Rhinolophus ferrumequinum: one gene and its partner. The protein of the gene in region 2 purifies or fractionates together with the protein of the main gene of each other region. This does not show direct contact. Links are inferred from orthologs where the notes say so. Each region holds a gene or a part of one and is shown on either strand. Other genes may lie near its edges.

Region 1 (8,158 bases), on a different chromosome or scaffold from region 2:
ACACAGCAGCAAGAGTGATCATTCAAAAAGAAAACACTCTCAAAACCCTCCCATGGTTTCCATTTTCACTTAGATTAGAACCCTCACCAGTTTCTCTGAACTCATGTTCGACATTCTCCTGTCAGCTATGCTTCAGTCACCTCACTCCTTTTTTAATTCCTCAAACACACCAACCTCATTCTTGATTCAGAGTCTTTATTTTTGCTTTTGTTTTTACCTGGTAAGTCTTCGGCCAAATGTTCACATGACTGCTTCTTTCTCATCATTCAGATCGCTGCTTAAATGTCACCTCTCAGAGGAACTTCTCCTGACCACTGTATCAAAAATGGTACCCTCACAACTTCCACCCAACAAACACCATTCTCATTTTCTTTAACCTCCTGTGCTTTCTTTATTTTCCACATGCATTTAACTATATCTGAAATTATATTTGTTCTTCTACTTATCTCCTGTCTCTATCCCTACAAGCTCCATGAGGGGAAGGACTTCGTTTTGGTCACTGCTGTATCCTAGTAACTGGAATAGTCTGAGACCATGGTAGCTACTTAATACATTTATTTGCTGAGTGAAAAAAATGAATCTAATCAGAAGGAATTCTAATAAGAATGGATTAGAAGAAATACTTACATGTTTATTGCTTAATGGTCTTTTCAGTAAAGCATCTCTGGAAATATGGTCTGCTGTTCTTGCCACATCTTCCAAAAATCTATAATCTGCAAATTTCAAAATAGAAAAATAAACAAATGATATGTGTCAATTTCTAGAAAACATCAATCTGCTATGCATAAGATGGCTTACCACTTAAGAGATTCATTTCAGTAAACTGTTGTACTGAAACATATGCAGTTTTATCTCGAACTCCATTACATGTCAGTTCTGCTTTGTGCTTCTTTACACAGGGCAAACTAAAGAGACAAAGAGGAAGTACTTTTATACTTGGAGGTAACAAAAGTACAGATAGAGGTAATAAGGTAGGAAATTACATATATACCTGCAAGAATATCGCATACAACGTGGACATCTGTATTTTGCTTCTTCTGTACCACAAGTTTCACACCTATAAAAGCCCATATGAAATTTAATTATCAAATATTAATTCTCCCTATTTGTTTATAAACTTAATCTGACTTAATTACTCATCACAATCAATTTACAGAGATAGTCGTAGTGAGTAAAGTATAATGCATGTAACTGATAAAATACTTAATAGCTGGAAACTGTCTCCAAATGACAATTACATTTATAATATTGTTAATGACATGTAATTTAAAAAATGTATTAAATTTTAAAAAAATCGTCTCACCTTTGACTTCTTTTTCTACTATAATCAGAGAATGAGATTTTCAATGATATTTTAACTTGTAATTCCCGGCAATCTGCTAAAGATTGTGTGAGTGTGTGCATATTATACCCAGAAGTCCAATCCATGAGCTAGCTATGTTTAGCTATCTTAAAGGCACACACACCAGTAGAAGAATGTAAGACCCAATCGAATTTAGACAGTAAAAAGAAGTTGCCGTGTTTTCATTTTCGTTTATCTCAAGATGGAAGGGGAGCTGACTCTGGGTGGTGAACACACAGTGTGATTTATGGATGATGTGATACAGAATTGCACACCTGAAATCTATGTAATTTTACTAACAATTGTCACCCCAATAAATTAAAAATAAATTAATAAAAAAAAAAAGAAGTTGCATCTTTTTTCCTCAACCCCACCCCCAACCTAGAATGGGCATCAAAATAATCTTGAAATGCTATTACGCATCACCTGTCTTCAACTGCTCTTCTAGGATCTTGGGATACTGACAACCAAACTACAGCTACTTCTATTTCGCCTATTGTGTCCTAGACAGTAACAGTCCCAAGAATTTGACCACACTTTTATTTCCTATGCGGCCACAGGATTACACACTATTTGGAAATTAAATCAAAAGTAGTAAATATTCATAGTACCCATACAGAAACTGGACAATTGGGTGAGTTCAAGTGCATTTTGTCTAATTTTAACTCAATCCACTCTGTCATTGTTGGTTTTATGAGATTTTTCTCTCATGTTTATCCTCTCTCAAGATACTGAATCAAGAGCATAGTAGTTAGTCAAGCCAGAATCTGGTCCACAGGTTTTCTGGTTTCCACAATTTTCACCTCCTAATTTGCTCACCGGACACTAACAACCTCTGATTTTCACTGAATTTGTTGCCACCTGACAAAACCCTCCCTTACCAATTCCCCACTTTCACCACTCAGGCTCTAGGAGCCCCAGATTTGTGCTTCTTTTCCATTATTCCACACAGCGCTGGTAGTGTAGTTTCCTCCGATCTAGACATGAGACAACTCCACAGCTTTATTCCTCCACTGGGTATCTCCCTGCCTTACCTTGACATGGCCAGTTTCCGCTTGGAGCCCACTGGGCAACTTATCTGAGGCTCTTCTTTCACCTTTGTATCATCCATCATTTCTTGCTTCGGGAAATACTTTTCTTCTTTTACACACACCTCATCCATCATTACCTCCTCTTTTATGTTCTGACCAACAAACGCCTCCTCCTGTTTTATCTCCAAGTTTTCTTTCTTCTCTTCCTTCACCTCTAGCCAGTCCATCACCTCTTCCTTTACTTTCACTTTCTCTTCCTTCACCTCTGGCTCATTCATTTTCTCTTCTTTTACCACCAAACTACTACCTATCTCCTGCTTCACCTCCGATGTGTCCGGTTTCTCCTCCTTCACCTCCAATGTGTCCGGTTTCTCCTCCTTCACCTCTGGCCCATCCTCCACCTCCTGCTTTACCCACTGGCCGTCCAGCATACCTTCTTTCATTTCCGACCAGTCCATAACTTCTTGCTTCACAACCGATAGGTCCATTCGCATTTGCTCTGCCTTTTGTCCACTTCCTTCTTCTCTACTCCCTATCTTTCCCAGTCCTGTCAGTTCATAACCCGCCTCTCCACCGCAGGCCTCCTCGGTCCCTGCTACGGACCTGACTCCCTCCGTACAGGACTGGAGACAGAGCCGCGCCCCTTCAGCTCCAATCTGGAGACCGCCTCCCGACGTTCCTTCATTCTCGGCAGCAAAATCCATCAGCTCACGACCCCTGGCATCCGCTGCCACTCTGTCCTCCAGTATGGCTGGTCCACGCCAACAGTATGAGCTACCGGCGGGATCACCGACAGCGGCCCACGTGTGGGGCAGAGAAGTCATAAGCAGTGAGCGCCGGCCTGGCGTGTTCCTCCAAATCGTCGTAAAGCAACACTTCCGCGCTTCGCCACTTCACGACTCGTAGAGTTCTTTACGGCTCTGCAGCGGCCCGGCCCAGATACTCCAAATTGTCATGAGGCCACGCCCACCACGGTCCCGCCTTCGGGGCGGGGCTTCGCCAAATCCTTCCCCTGGGGAGGCCGCTTCCCGCCACACCTTCTGCGCGTGACTACATTCCTCTCTGTGAAAACTGGAGGATCCGGGCGGAGAGACAAGCTAAACCCATTATCTTGGAATGGAAAGATCCACCCTGATTTATATTAAAGATTAATCTTGTATGAAAATGGAAGAAATACCTTATGTTACACCTCTCCAATCTTCAGTTTCTTCACCTAGAAACTAGACACGACGGTATTGCAAATCTCTTAGGATTATTGTAAAGATCAAATGGAATCCTGCATGGAAATAAGCTAGCAGTGACTGAAACAAACTCAATATACGGGGCTATTATTACTGAGAATCCCTATAGGTTTCAGATAGGAAAGAAAGCATTAACTTTCGTTCTTTCAATTATTTGTCAGTAATAGCCCACATCGACCAGTGCCCCACTCCCAGCATCCTACAGGATTCTATATATACTACTAACATACACATACACATATATGTATATATGTAATCTTAGAGTTATATCTATATATCTATATCATATGTATCTATATGATACATATATATATATATATACACACACACACACTCCCTATTTAAAAACTGGGCCCAAAATTCAATCCCCAGGACTAGAAGATCTAAAAAATACAAAAATACACAGAATGTTTCAATTACTCTTTAAAATTATTATTACATTATAATAATAATGTAGGCAATTCACTTAATCTTCACATCATGTCTGTGATATATTTTTCTCACTGCACAAGGAGACTCCAAAGAAATGGCTTGGTAGCTGTGGGCTGCTTTGCACTCCCCCCTCAAATCCTGTCATAATTTGGAGGGCATTTAGCTGTTATCATTCATTCACACATTGCTCAGGGAATGGGAATTTTGAATGGATGAGCAGAATGAAGGAGTAATTATAAAACCTTAGTTGGGGCACGACCGTTTGAACAGTGCTGGAAGGAGGATTGAAGTTGAGAGAGTTTAGTAACATCTTTGTATGGATTGTGAGGAAGAAACTTCTCGAGGAATCATAGCCTCTTTTGGAGATACTTAGAGGTGTCAGCCGTCTACAAAGTCAAAAGGAGCCTGACTGGATTTTCAGGCTAGATGATATGTTTACACTTACGAAAAGGGGCTAAATGACAGAAAGAATCCTGGTGGCCTTGATAAAGACAAGGTTTGGGAGATGGGAGCAATGAGAGGGAGTGTTGATCCAGAATAAAACCATCTGGATTTCCAGAGAAATTTCTGGACCTACAGATCAGAAGCATAAAGACTTTGTAAAATTTGGAACTTTTGTCATTTCCTTCATTTGTTCTTATAATCTGTGTATTTTTTTTCACAGTCCCTGGAAGGGAAATCGTTACACCAGAGAGGATCCTTGGTAGCATCACAGCTAATCACCTAAATTAAACAATCAACACTGTGGGACTATAGTTTTAATGGAGATATTGGAGGTTGTGGTGGTATCCTTGAATGGCAGTTTTGAAGGAAAAGTGAGGCTTGAGTAGCTCTGGAGGAGGGAACTTTGGGTTGTGGGAGTATTGAGCCAGGGTATTGCCTGCAAGAACAGAGACAGGGCAGGGACAGAGAAAGGGAGGCAGAAGGTACGTGGGGCTGTCACTGAATTCCTATCCAATTCCTGAAATCCTTTTCCCTCCCTTTTCCACCTCAGTGGAGTAAAGCTCTGTATAAGCCTGGCTCCTTCAGTATAGGATTGAACCTTCTTGCTATAATACCCTAACATTAGTCTCAGGTCTCTGTACTGGGCATTCCAGATTACAAATTATTTTTCGGTGTCTGTGAGGGTGTTTCTGGATGAGATTAGCATTTGAATCAGTGGACTCAGTAAATAGCCCTCCCCCATGTGGGTGGGCACCATCCAATCATTTGAGAGCGTGAGTAGAACAAAAGGCAGAAAAAGGAGGAATGTGCTCCCTTTTGCTTTCTGTTTGCCTACTTGAGTTGGGACATCTCATCTTCTCCAGCCCCTGGAATGGGTTTTAAACCACTGACTCCCCTGGTTCTCAGCCCTTTAGACCTAACTGAATTACGCCATAGCTTTCCTGGGTCTCCAGCTTTCAGACAACAGATTGTGGGACTTCTCAGCTTCCATAATCATGTGAGTCAATTCGTCACAATAAATCTCCATATTATGTATATATATGTGTATATATATTATTATTGTAATACATATACATTTAATATATAATGTATTATAACATAGTTTATATATATATATATACATATATATATATAAAATCTATAAAATCTATATCTCTATATCTATCTTTCCTACCAGTTCTGTTTCTCTGGAGAATCCTAACTAATACAGACTTTTACTTTTATTATCCCCATTTTACAGTGAAGAAACTGAGGCAATGATGAATATACTATATAATACACTCAATGATGAATATATGTCACACAGCTACTCCTCAGAGCACTCTGCTACTACCGTGTTTCCCTGAAAATAAGACCCAGCTGGACAATCAGCTCTAATGTGTCTTTTGGAGCAAGAATTAATATAAGACCTGGTTTTATTTTACTATAAGACTGGGTCTTTACAATATAATAAAATACCCAGTCTTATATTAATTTTTGCTCCAAAAGACGCATTAGAGCTGATTATCTGGCTAGGTCTTATATTCAGGGAAACAGGGTACTATACTGCCTATGATTAAGTTGATTCAAATTTACTTTAAAATTAATATTTTAGAAACAAAAGAAACAAAGTATTTCTATTTTATATATATTTCTTAAATTATATCTAGGAAATCATTTAGGTCTCTAAAATAGGTCTCTTTTTTTGGGGAGGTAACAAAAGGTAATAGCATGTAGACTGAAACTAGAATTTAAAACTATGGTTTCCTTCCTTTAAAATAAACCTTCACTGTTTTAAAAACATTTCTATGTTCCTTAAGCAGGAAATCATACATCTTTGCCATAACTCCATTAGAAAAAACTATGGCAAAATATACTACATAAAATTGGTCATTTTAATCAATAAAGTACACCATTCAGTTGCATTAAGTACATTCATATTGTTGTGCAAGCTTCATTACCATCTATCTCCAGAAATTTGTCATCATCCTAAACAGAAACTCTGTACTCATTTAAAAATAATTCCCCATTCCCACCTCACCCAGCATCTCTGGTAACCTCTATTGTATTTTCTGTCTCTGAATTTGTTCTATTCATGTATTTTATATAGGTGGAATCATACAATATTTGTCCTTTTTTCCTTGTCTAGCTTATTTAACTTAGCATGTTTTTAAGGTACATCAATGTTGTCGCATGTATCAGAATTTCATTTCTTTTTAAGGCTGAATAATATTCCATTGCATGTACAAACCACATTTTGTTTATGCACACTTGGGTTGTTTCCATCTTTTGGATATTCTGAATAATACCTCTATGAACACTGGTGTACAAATATCTGCTTGAGTCCCTTCTTTCAATTCTTTTGAGTATGCATACATGAAGAAGAATTTCTGGATCATATGGTAATTCCATGTTTAACTTTGAGGAACTGCCAAACTTTTTTCCACAGTGGCTGCACCATTTTACAATCCCATCAACAATGTACAGGTTTCCAGTATATCCACAACCTCACCAACACTTGTTACTTTCTTTCTCTCTCTCTCTGGATAATAGCCATCCTGATGGGTGTGAAGTGGTATCTAACTGGTTTTGATTTGTATTTTCCTAATGACTAGTGAAGTTGAGTATCTTTTCATTTGTTGTCCATTTGTATACTATCTGCTTTGGAGAAGTTTCTATTAAGTCCTTTGCCCATTTTTCAATTGGGTTGCTTGGTTTTTCTTTTTGTTTGTTTGAGTTGTAGGAGTTCTTTATACATTCTGGATAATAATCCCTTATCAGATGCATGATTTGCAAATATTTTCTCCCATTCTGTGGGATAGCTTTCACTTTCTTGACAATGTCTTTTGATGCACAGAAGTTTTAAATTTTGATGTAGTTCAATTTACTGTTTTCTTTTTTGATTGTGCTTTCAGTGTCATCTCTAAGAAGTCAGTGCCAAGTCCAATGTCATGAAACCTTTTCCCCTATGTTTTCTCCTAAGAGTTTTAAAGTTTTAGCTCTTACATTTAGGATTTTGAGTTAATTTTTATATATGATGTAAGGTAAGGGTCCAACTTCATTCTTTTGCATGTGGATATACAGTTTTCCCAGCAGCATTTGTTGAAAAAATCTTTCCTTTTTCCCATTGAATGATCTTCCCACCCTTATTGAAAATCAATTGACCACATATGGAAGAGTTTATTTCTGTGTCATGATCTCATTTTGTGCAAATGGGAAATAGGCCATATAATCCTTTTATAGGTATGTAACAGACACTTTGCAATAATGCATATATATATATATATATATATATATATATATATATATATATATATATGTATATTTTAGAGAAGGGCTGTACCAGAGGGGCTATCATATATAATAAAAGTATATGGCAACAAAAGAAGAAAAACAAATACCACCAAAACAAATTTAAAGCAAATTTTTATTATAGATAGGTAAGTGTGGTTTGCTGCAGCTAAAGGTATGTTTATAATGAATGTACAAGCTTTTCTAAATACCAAAGGTATAATATTTTTCTTCTAATAGTGAACTAACATTTCTCTGGCAACAAGAAAAGTCTGAATTGGATGAGCCTATTTTAAATGGCAAAAGACTGTTTTATTTTTTTTCTGGATTTTGCTTAAAAGATTGATAAATTTAATTCTTTTAGGTCCCAACACATTAAATTTAAGAACAGTGAAAGA
Region 2 (7,677 bases):
GCTGAAATTCTACTTCCATAGTTCCAAGTTTGGATGTATATCAGAATTGCCAAAACATCTTTTTCCCCCCCTTTCTTCCACCTCCCCTTCTGCCCCCCACTCCGGTTCAAGCCGTTGTTTCTCAGTCTAGTTGCGTAGGACACAGCTCCCTGGCCCATGCTGGTATTACGAGTCTTGCGCTCCCCCCGCCGGCTGAGGCAGTAGGTCCACGGTCGTTGGTCGCCGCTCACAGCAGCCTGCGGCAGCACACACCAACCTTCAGCTGCTCACAGTAGCCCAGCTCCAGGGAGAGCTGTTGTTATCTTAGCTGTAAAGGGTGCAGCTCACTGGCCCATGTGGGAATTGAACCAGCGACCTTGGTGTTAGGAGCACGGCGCTCCAACCACCTGATATTCTGGGCCGGCCCCAAAATATCTTTTTAAGAAAAGATTCTGGGCTGTTTCCCCAATGACCTGACTCAGTTGGCCTGGAAATATGATTTTCCAAAGAGCTTGCCAGGTATGCTGTTCATTCACAATTAAAAGTAACAAAAACTTAAAAATAATAAATAAAAGAAAAACTACATGTCTTGAGTTCTGATGTGAGAATTCCATATCCCTTCTTGAAGATTCTGATTGGAAATCACTACACTGGGTAAGTACCGAATTTTTCCTACAAGAATAAAATTTCCATGCTGCTAAATCAAATGGAACTTTTTCAGTCTTCATCTTACCTGAAACATATGAGTGTGGCTCACTCCCCTAAAACTGTCTTTTCTTCTGGCTTCTGATACCCCACTCTCAATTGTGTCCTGTCTTTTGGGCTGCTCCTCCTTTCTCCTCAACTAGTTTATCTTCTGCTAAACCTCCAAGTGTTAAAAATTCTCAAAGCTCAGTCTTAGGTCCCATTCTCTCCCCCAAGTGACCATATTTGCACCCACCTTTAATTATCACATACTGTGTTTCCCCAAAAATAAGACCTAGCCGGACAATCAACTCTAATGCGTCTTTTGGAGCAAAAATTAATGTAATACCTGGTCTTAGATCTTATATAAGACCGGGACTTATATAAGACCGGGACTGATGCGATAAAATACGAAGTACACAGCTTTCTAAAATACAATATTTTCTTCATAACCAAAATATTCTTAGAATCATTTATTCTTATTTTGTTGTCTTATGGTCATCGTTTGGTGTATCATGTGTATCTTTATAAATTAGAAATTTGAGACACTGAGAGTGTACTGTTTAATTATTATTATTATTTTTTACTTTGGAAATGAGACTCTAAATTCAAGTTTCTTAAACTAGATGCACAGGCCAACAAGCACATGAGGAGATGCTCAAAAATAAGTAACATTAGGGAAATGCAAATCGAAACCACAATGAGCTATCACTTCATATCCATCAGAATGGCTATTATTAAAAAAAAATAACAACAGAAAGTAACAAGAGTGGGTGAGGATATGGAGAAATTGGAACCCCAGTGTATTCCTGGGAATGTAAAATTGTGCAGCTTTTATGTAAAACACTATGGTGGTTCCTCAAAAAGTTAAGCACAGAACTACCATATGATCCAGTAATTCCACTTCTAGGTATATACTCAGAAGAACTGAAAACAGGGACTCAGGTAGACATTTATACCCATGGTCATAGCAGCATTATTCATAATGGCCAAAAGGTGAAAACAACCCGTGTCCATAAACAGATGAATAGATACACAAAATGTGGTCCATACAGTATATACATACATGGAACATTATTCAGCCTTAGAAAGGAAGGAATTCCTGACACATGCTACAACAAAGATGAACCTTGAAGACATTTATGCTAAGTGAAATAAGCCAGTCGCACAAGGACAAATATTATATGACTATTTAAATGGGGGTAGTCAAATTGACAGAGTTCGTACTATATTTTTCTATTTACATAAAGCACAAACGCATGCAAAACTTACCTCTGATGTTATAAATCTGGATGGTGGTTACCCTTTGGTTGAAAGAGGGAGGAGGCAGGTAGCAACTGGAAGATGGCCCCAGGGGATATAGTGAATTTCAAGGATACTGGTATTGATAAACTTTTTGAAAGTCCAGATATAAGAAGAATGAGATCAAAAACTGACATCTGAAGATTTTTTTGGCAATTGTTTTAGGATCAACCATCTAGGCAGTTATGAAGGAAATGGAATTATCATAAGTGGGATTATGTGTTAAAAAATGACATGTGCAAGATACTGTGCTTGATAAAGAGGTAGTCATTCAACAAGCATTACAAAGGATCTTTTATGTGCCAGACAGGTTGGGGCAAGGTATAGGGGGATATACACAGGTACACAGTGTTAAATGCTGAAGGTGGGGGTGGGAGCGAATGCACACACAAAACAAGCAAATAGGAGACAGTGGACAGAGAATACCTGGAGTAACTGCTGGTAGAATGATGGAAGCAAATCATAACAGAAGTATCTAATTGGGAGATGGTGGTTGCTTACCTGCAAATCCTGCCTTGGTTTCAAATCTGGGAATATGGTGAACCAAAAGCAACATACATGTGGGAACCCAACTAAAAACCTTGGTTAACCTCACTTTTATTCAACCATGGCTGAATGGAACCTTCCTTGCTAAAATAAAAGCCTGACCTTTTAACAACTGTAACAGAAAGGAGATCTGGAAGGAAACCTCTAGGTGGAAACATGGCCTTTGGGTAGTCAAATTGGATTGAGAAATGGGAGTTACTCTTTTCCAACTTTGGTCAGTCAGTCCCAGTCTACACATCAGAACAAACATTAGAGGAGACGGATATGCACGGAGGAGTGTGAGAAGCATTTACTTGGCCAATGAAAAATGCCTACTGTGTTAAGGCCAGAAAACCATAGTGCAATAGTGGAGACAGATAAGTCAACAAGTTATTCAAAAACAATGTATTACATGTGACATGATTAAGTAGAAAAAACTCTGTGGGTAAAGAAGAAGGCGTGATAATGCTTGCTTGGAAGAGTTTGGTAAGGCTTCACTACGGTGACATTTAAGTTGGGCCTTCAAGGATTGGATAGGAGTTTGCCAGGCATGTCAGGAAGTGCAGAGTGAAGCCAGAAGGAGCTTAGAGAATTGAGGAACTGTGCAGAAACTCGGACTGGTTTGAGAACTGGGCTGTGTGTGTCAGATGCAATGACAGAACCAGAGGCTAGGAAGGCAGGTCGGGGGCTAGAGAGCAAAACGTCTTCTCCAAGAGTCAGGGCATTGTGCATCCGAAGGCAATTAAGACACAAAAGTTAAGAGTACTGGTTTTGTTCTAATCGGGGCTCTACCACTTACTAGCTGTGTGATCTGGGCAACAGCCTGGGCCTCAGTGTCTCCGATTATAACGAAAAAGGGGGCTGAGCAATAAATCTGACAAACGCGGTGGGGGTGGGGGGAGAAGAAAGCACATGGCAGGCCTGACAAGCTCAGTGACCAAAAGTAACCACACAGGATGATCTGATCACAAATTCCTAGCTGGGCAGGTCGCAGCGGGTAGTCACACGCCAGGCCTATAGCTTCCTTAGTGAAGGTCAATCTTCAGCTTAAGTGAATCCTGTCCATTGTTCTTATGTAAGTAGAATAACATGCCTCTGAAATGGCAGAGTAATTTTTTTTCTAGACCCCTCAAAGGCACAGCCGCAGGCTCCAGAGCACAAGACCATAGAACCCCTCATCATCTTGTTCCCCCCGTACTATCTCTGTACTGTAAATGTTAAGTATCCTGTACCCACCAACATAAATGTTTCCTCATTTTGCTTTTTATTCAATCCTAGAGATTTCCCTGCTTTGCCTTAATCTACCCCCTCCTTGATCTACCACCAATAGATTTCATGTAGCTTCCTTACGTTTTCGCATCTGATTCTAAATACATAAAAGAAACTGCAAAACTTATTCTCAGGAGCATTTTCTCAACCCGTTGAGATCTTGCTTCCCGGCATGTCCTCAAAAAATTTGGCTCAAATAAACTCTTATAAAACTTTTGTATAGGTTTGGAAGTTCTTTTGTAAACAGCAGTAATAACCTTTACCTTACACAGTTGCTGGATTAAACGACTGAAAGTGTATGGATAGCTGCGCACAGCGTCCAGCCTACTCTGCGTTCAATGGGAACGTTATGATGATTAGGAGGCTAAAACTCGTTTCTGAACCCCCCCGCCCACGGCCTCCTCCCCACTGTTACAGCTGGAGAAAGAAGGTTACCCAGGGCGGCAGCGGCCGCTCCCCACTCCTCCGCCCTCCAGGCCTCAGACCTTCACTCAGAGAGCAAGGCCGGGCCAGAGGAGGGGCGGGCGGGCTTGGCGAGCAGGGGACGCGCGGCGGCTCACCGGGGCTGGGGTCCCGCTCCTTGTCCTCCGCGGTCCCGAGGGCCTTGAAGCCCGGCGGCAGAGCTGGGCCGATCAGATCCCTCGCCATGCGCGGCTGCGGACACTGGTAACGCAGGCAAGTCTCTCCTCGCAGAGCGAAACCCACTCAAAACGCAGCCCGCGATCCGTCGCAAGTGCTGGAAGTTTTTCCGGCGCCCACCAATGACATTGCAGCCTGTGATTGGCTGAGACGTGTAATTCGCCACAACGGAAGTGACGCATAAATCGTGTTCCACATTCGCACGCCGGATTCCCTTCCTGGCGGGCGGCATGGCTGAGCCGGCTAGTGATTTCGTGACTTCCCCGGGCTGGTGTTCAGCCCCCGAGCCGACCCCCACGGTGGGGCTTCTGAGCGACACTGCGCCGCTGCGGGACAATTGGATGCTCTGGGCCATGTGGCCGCCGCCGCCACCGCCTTCGTCGTCGCCTCCCGCGGGAGGGTCAGAGCCGTCCTCGGAGGCGCAGCTCCTCGTGGACACCCGCTTGCACGCCCAGATTCTTCCCGGGGCGCAGCCCCACTTGGACACCCAGTCCCGCCTGGATTCTCAGCCTCAAATCAACGGGCAGCCTTCCTGGCATTTCCAGGCTTCGACATCATGGTACTGGAGACAGTCTCCTGGTAGTGTCCCTTGGCATCAGAAGTCCCACAACACTCCAGGTAGGCTCTTACTCCGCTCCATGCACCCCCCTTCCCTTCTTCTCCCCTTTTCTCTCTCCCATTTCTCCTTCCCCCCCTCTTTGCACTTCTGATTCTGCGTTGCACTCTGGGAGTCTGCTCATTAATGTCTCACAATTTGTCCGACAGGAATTTCCCTCGCCTGTTCATTCGGTTTAGCAGTTATTTGTTGAATTCCACGATGTATCGGGAACTGGGAATGTAGTAGTGAACGAAACATACGAAAATCCTTATCTGTATGGAGCATAATCTCTGGTTTAGGAAGACAAACAAGGTGAAGCCGTGTGTGTGAGACGGCAGTGAGTGCTACGGAGGGAGATAAAGCGAAGAAGAAGGATAGATAGTGCAGGTTTAAATGTCAGTGTCAGCCATGAGGAAGGTGACATTGGAGCAGAGACTTCAGGGAGGGGAGAGACCAGATGGTGGTACGTCTGGGAGATGGGGATACAGGCCGAAGGAACTGCAACTGCAAAGGCCTTGAGGCAGGAGCTATAGATCGGACTGGAAGCTGGTGTGGCTAGAGGGAACTGAGCCCGGGTTAGAACTGGAGAAAATCGGGGAGGAGGGCAGACCTGTTAGGGCCTTGTAGATGATGGCACTTTGGTTTTTCCTGTTGTGACATGCCTAGTGCAGGGGAGTGACATGATTTGATTTATGTTTTAAAAGGGTTAACGTGACTACTGATGGGAATTGATTGGAAGGGAGACCAGTGAGGAAGTTATTGCAGTTCTCCAGGTGAGAGGTATCAGGGCCCTGGACCAGGGTGCAGCTCAGGAGGTGATGAGAAGTAGTTGGATTCTAGACGTATTTTGGAGGTAGGGTAGGACCAAAATGATTTGCTGAAGGATTGGAGATGGGAGTGAGGTAAAGGGGAGACAAGAATAATTTTCAAGTTTTTTGCCAAACAAGTGGGAGGGAGGATGGTGGGTGGAGCAGATTTGGACAGAAGATCAAGAACTGAGTTTGGAATACGCATGTGTCAAGTAGACATGTTAAATAGGCAGTTGGCCAGTAGTTTGTACTTTCAGGGGAGATTTGGCTGGAGCTGTAAACGTGGGTGTCATCAGCATATAGATCATATTGAAAGCCATGAGATTGTTTTCTTAAAACCATTCTCTAACTCCGCATATGATTCAGTTTACATTAAATTGAACACAAACCAGTGTTTACTGTGCACCAAATGCTGGAAATACGAGTGTGCCTAAGGCAGTCCTAAGTCAGGTGAGATGGGTTCATAAATACCGGGGGTGCCAAAAAAACGTATACACATTTTAAGAGATGTTATCTATGTATTACTTTTCGAAGTTGAATTGCGTAGCAATGTATAGTATGATGTTCACGCAAACGGCGTTAATCAAATGAATGCTAGCGCATTCGTTGTATTACAATTTTAATACAGTTTTTCTTCTTTTCTTAAAATGTGTATACATTTTTTTTGGTACCCTCTGTATAAATCACAATACAGTGTGACTGGTGATGGAGCCATATAGATTGTGATTTCAGAGAGTGGCACAGTTGGGAAAAGGATTTGGAAGAAGTGTCTTGGGAGATATTTAGTCAGAGATACTTTTTAGGTGGAAACAAAGAGGTATCAGTACAAGGTGAGTCCTGAAGATTGCAGTGTTCCGGTGTGACTGAAGCAGCGTAGGGGGAGGGTGTGGGAGAAGGGTGATAACATAAACCGGGATCTCATTGAAGGGCTCTAGGACGTCATTTGCAGATTTTCAGCAGGGTTGTGACAATTGGAGGATTATTTTTGTGGTGTCAGTGTGCAGGGTCTGTTGGAAGAAAGGACTTGGGAGCTGGAAGACAATTTGGGAGGCTGTCCCAATAATCTAGATGAAAGGTCAGGGTTTCAGAGTTGGGTAATGGCAATAAGAAAAAAATCTGAGGGAAAATGTATTTCACAAGGTTCTGTTTTCCTGGTTAAAATTGTTGGTCAAAGACCTGTATTACCAGGGGTTTTACTGTTTGCATTTCTAATGTTTGAAATAACCACAAGGAATTTTATTGGTTTAGCTTGTGCATTACTTAGACTCTAATGCATTTGTGGACACTTAGTCTTACCACTGTTATTAAGTTGAAAAATATTCATTTGGTAGACCAGTCTTAATCTTTGTTAATTTGTTCAAACTGCTATTCTTCCTAGAGGAGGTAGTTTACCACTCTTCTTACTCAAGTACTTACGACATGCTACAGCAAATAAAATTTTAAATAATTGTATCGTTGTGAACATTTATGGATCTCTTTTTGTTTTCAGTTAAACATTCTTATCTTCCACGAAACTATGATGCAAAGTTCACTGACTTCAACAGCCCTCCCAGCAGAAAACAGAAGAAAAAGGTATTTTGAAGATGTTCTTAAATGGACCACTTTGGTCCCTATATTGCTCTTTCCTGTCTTGTGTTGCTGTCATAACTCTCAGTGTTTTGCCTCCATTACTGACGCAGTGGAGCCTTGCTATAGTAGGATCTTTAAGGATCTTAACTGTAAGTAAATATTTCAGGCAAAATCTTTTTGAGAAATAAATGGAGAAATTATAGAAAGTGAAAACATTGAATCCATTTCAATGGAGTATCGAGTAAATGTAATTGAGGATTATGATTACAGATGAATAAATGTTATTAAACCTCGATGAAGTAA

Evidence for each region.
Region 1: the proteins of NUFIP1 (region 2) and ZNHIT6 purify together in Homo sapiens (affinity purification with western blotting; 3 studies listed by BioGRID and IntAct, with this or other methods). This does not show direct contact. The link is inferred for Rhinolophus ferrumequinum from reciprocal best matches to the Homo sapiens genes NUFIP1 and ZNHIT6.

Annotation. Positions count from the first base shown.
Region 1 is NC_046292.1:64,429,611-64,437,768, forward strand, and holds the start of ZNHIT6 (box C/D snoRNA protein 1), read right to left. Parts: upstream 3,283-8,158; 5' UTR 3,198-3,282; coding exon 2,377-3,197; intron 1,058-2,376; coding exon 992-1,057; intron 906-991; coding exon 799-905; intron 714-798; coding exon 628-713; intron 1-627. UniProt on the Homo sapiens protein: Required for box C/D snoRNAs accumulation involved in snoRNA processing, snoRNA transport to the nucleolus and ribosome biogenesis.
Region 2 is NC_046287.1:5,885,911-5,893,587, forward strand, and holds the start of NUFIP1 (FMR1-interacting protein NUFIP1), read left to right. Parts: upstream 1-4,611; 5' UTR 4,612-4,628; coding exon 4,629-5,016; intron 5,017-7,294; coding exon 7,295-7,377; intron 7,378-7,677. Other genes in the region: GPALPP1 (GPALPP motifs-containing protein 1), read right to left, coding at 4,320-4,407. UniProt on the Homo sapiens protein: Binds RNA.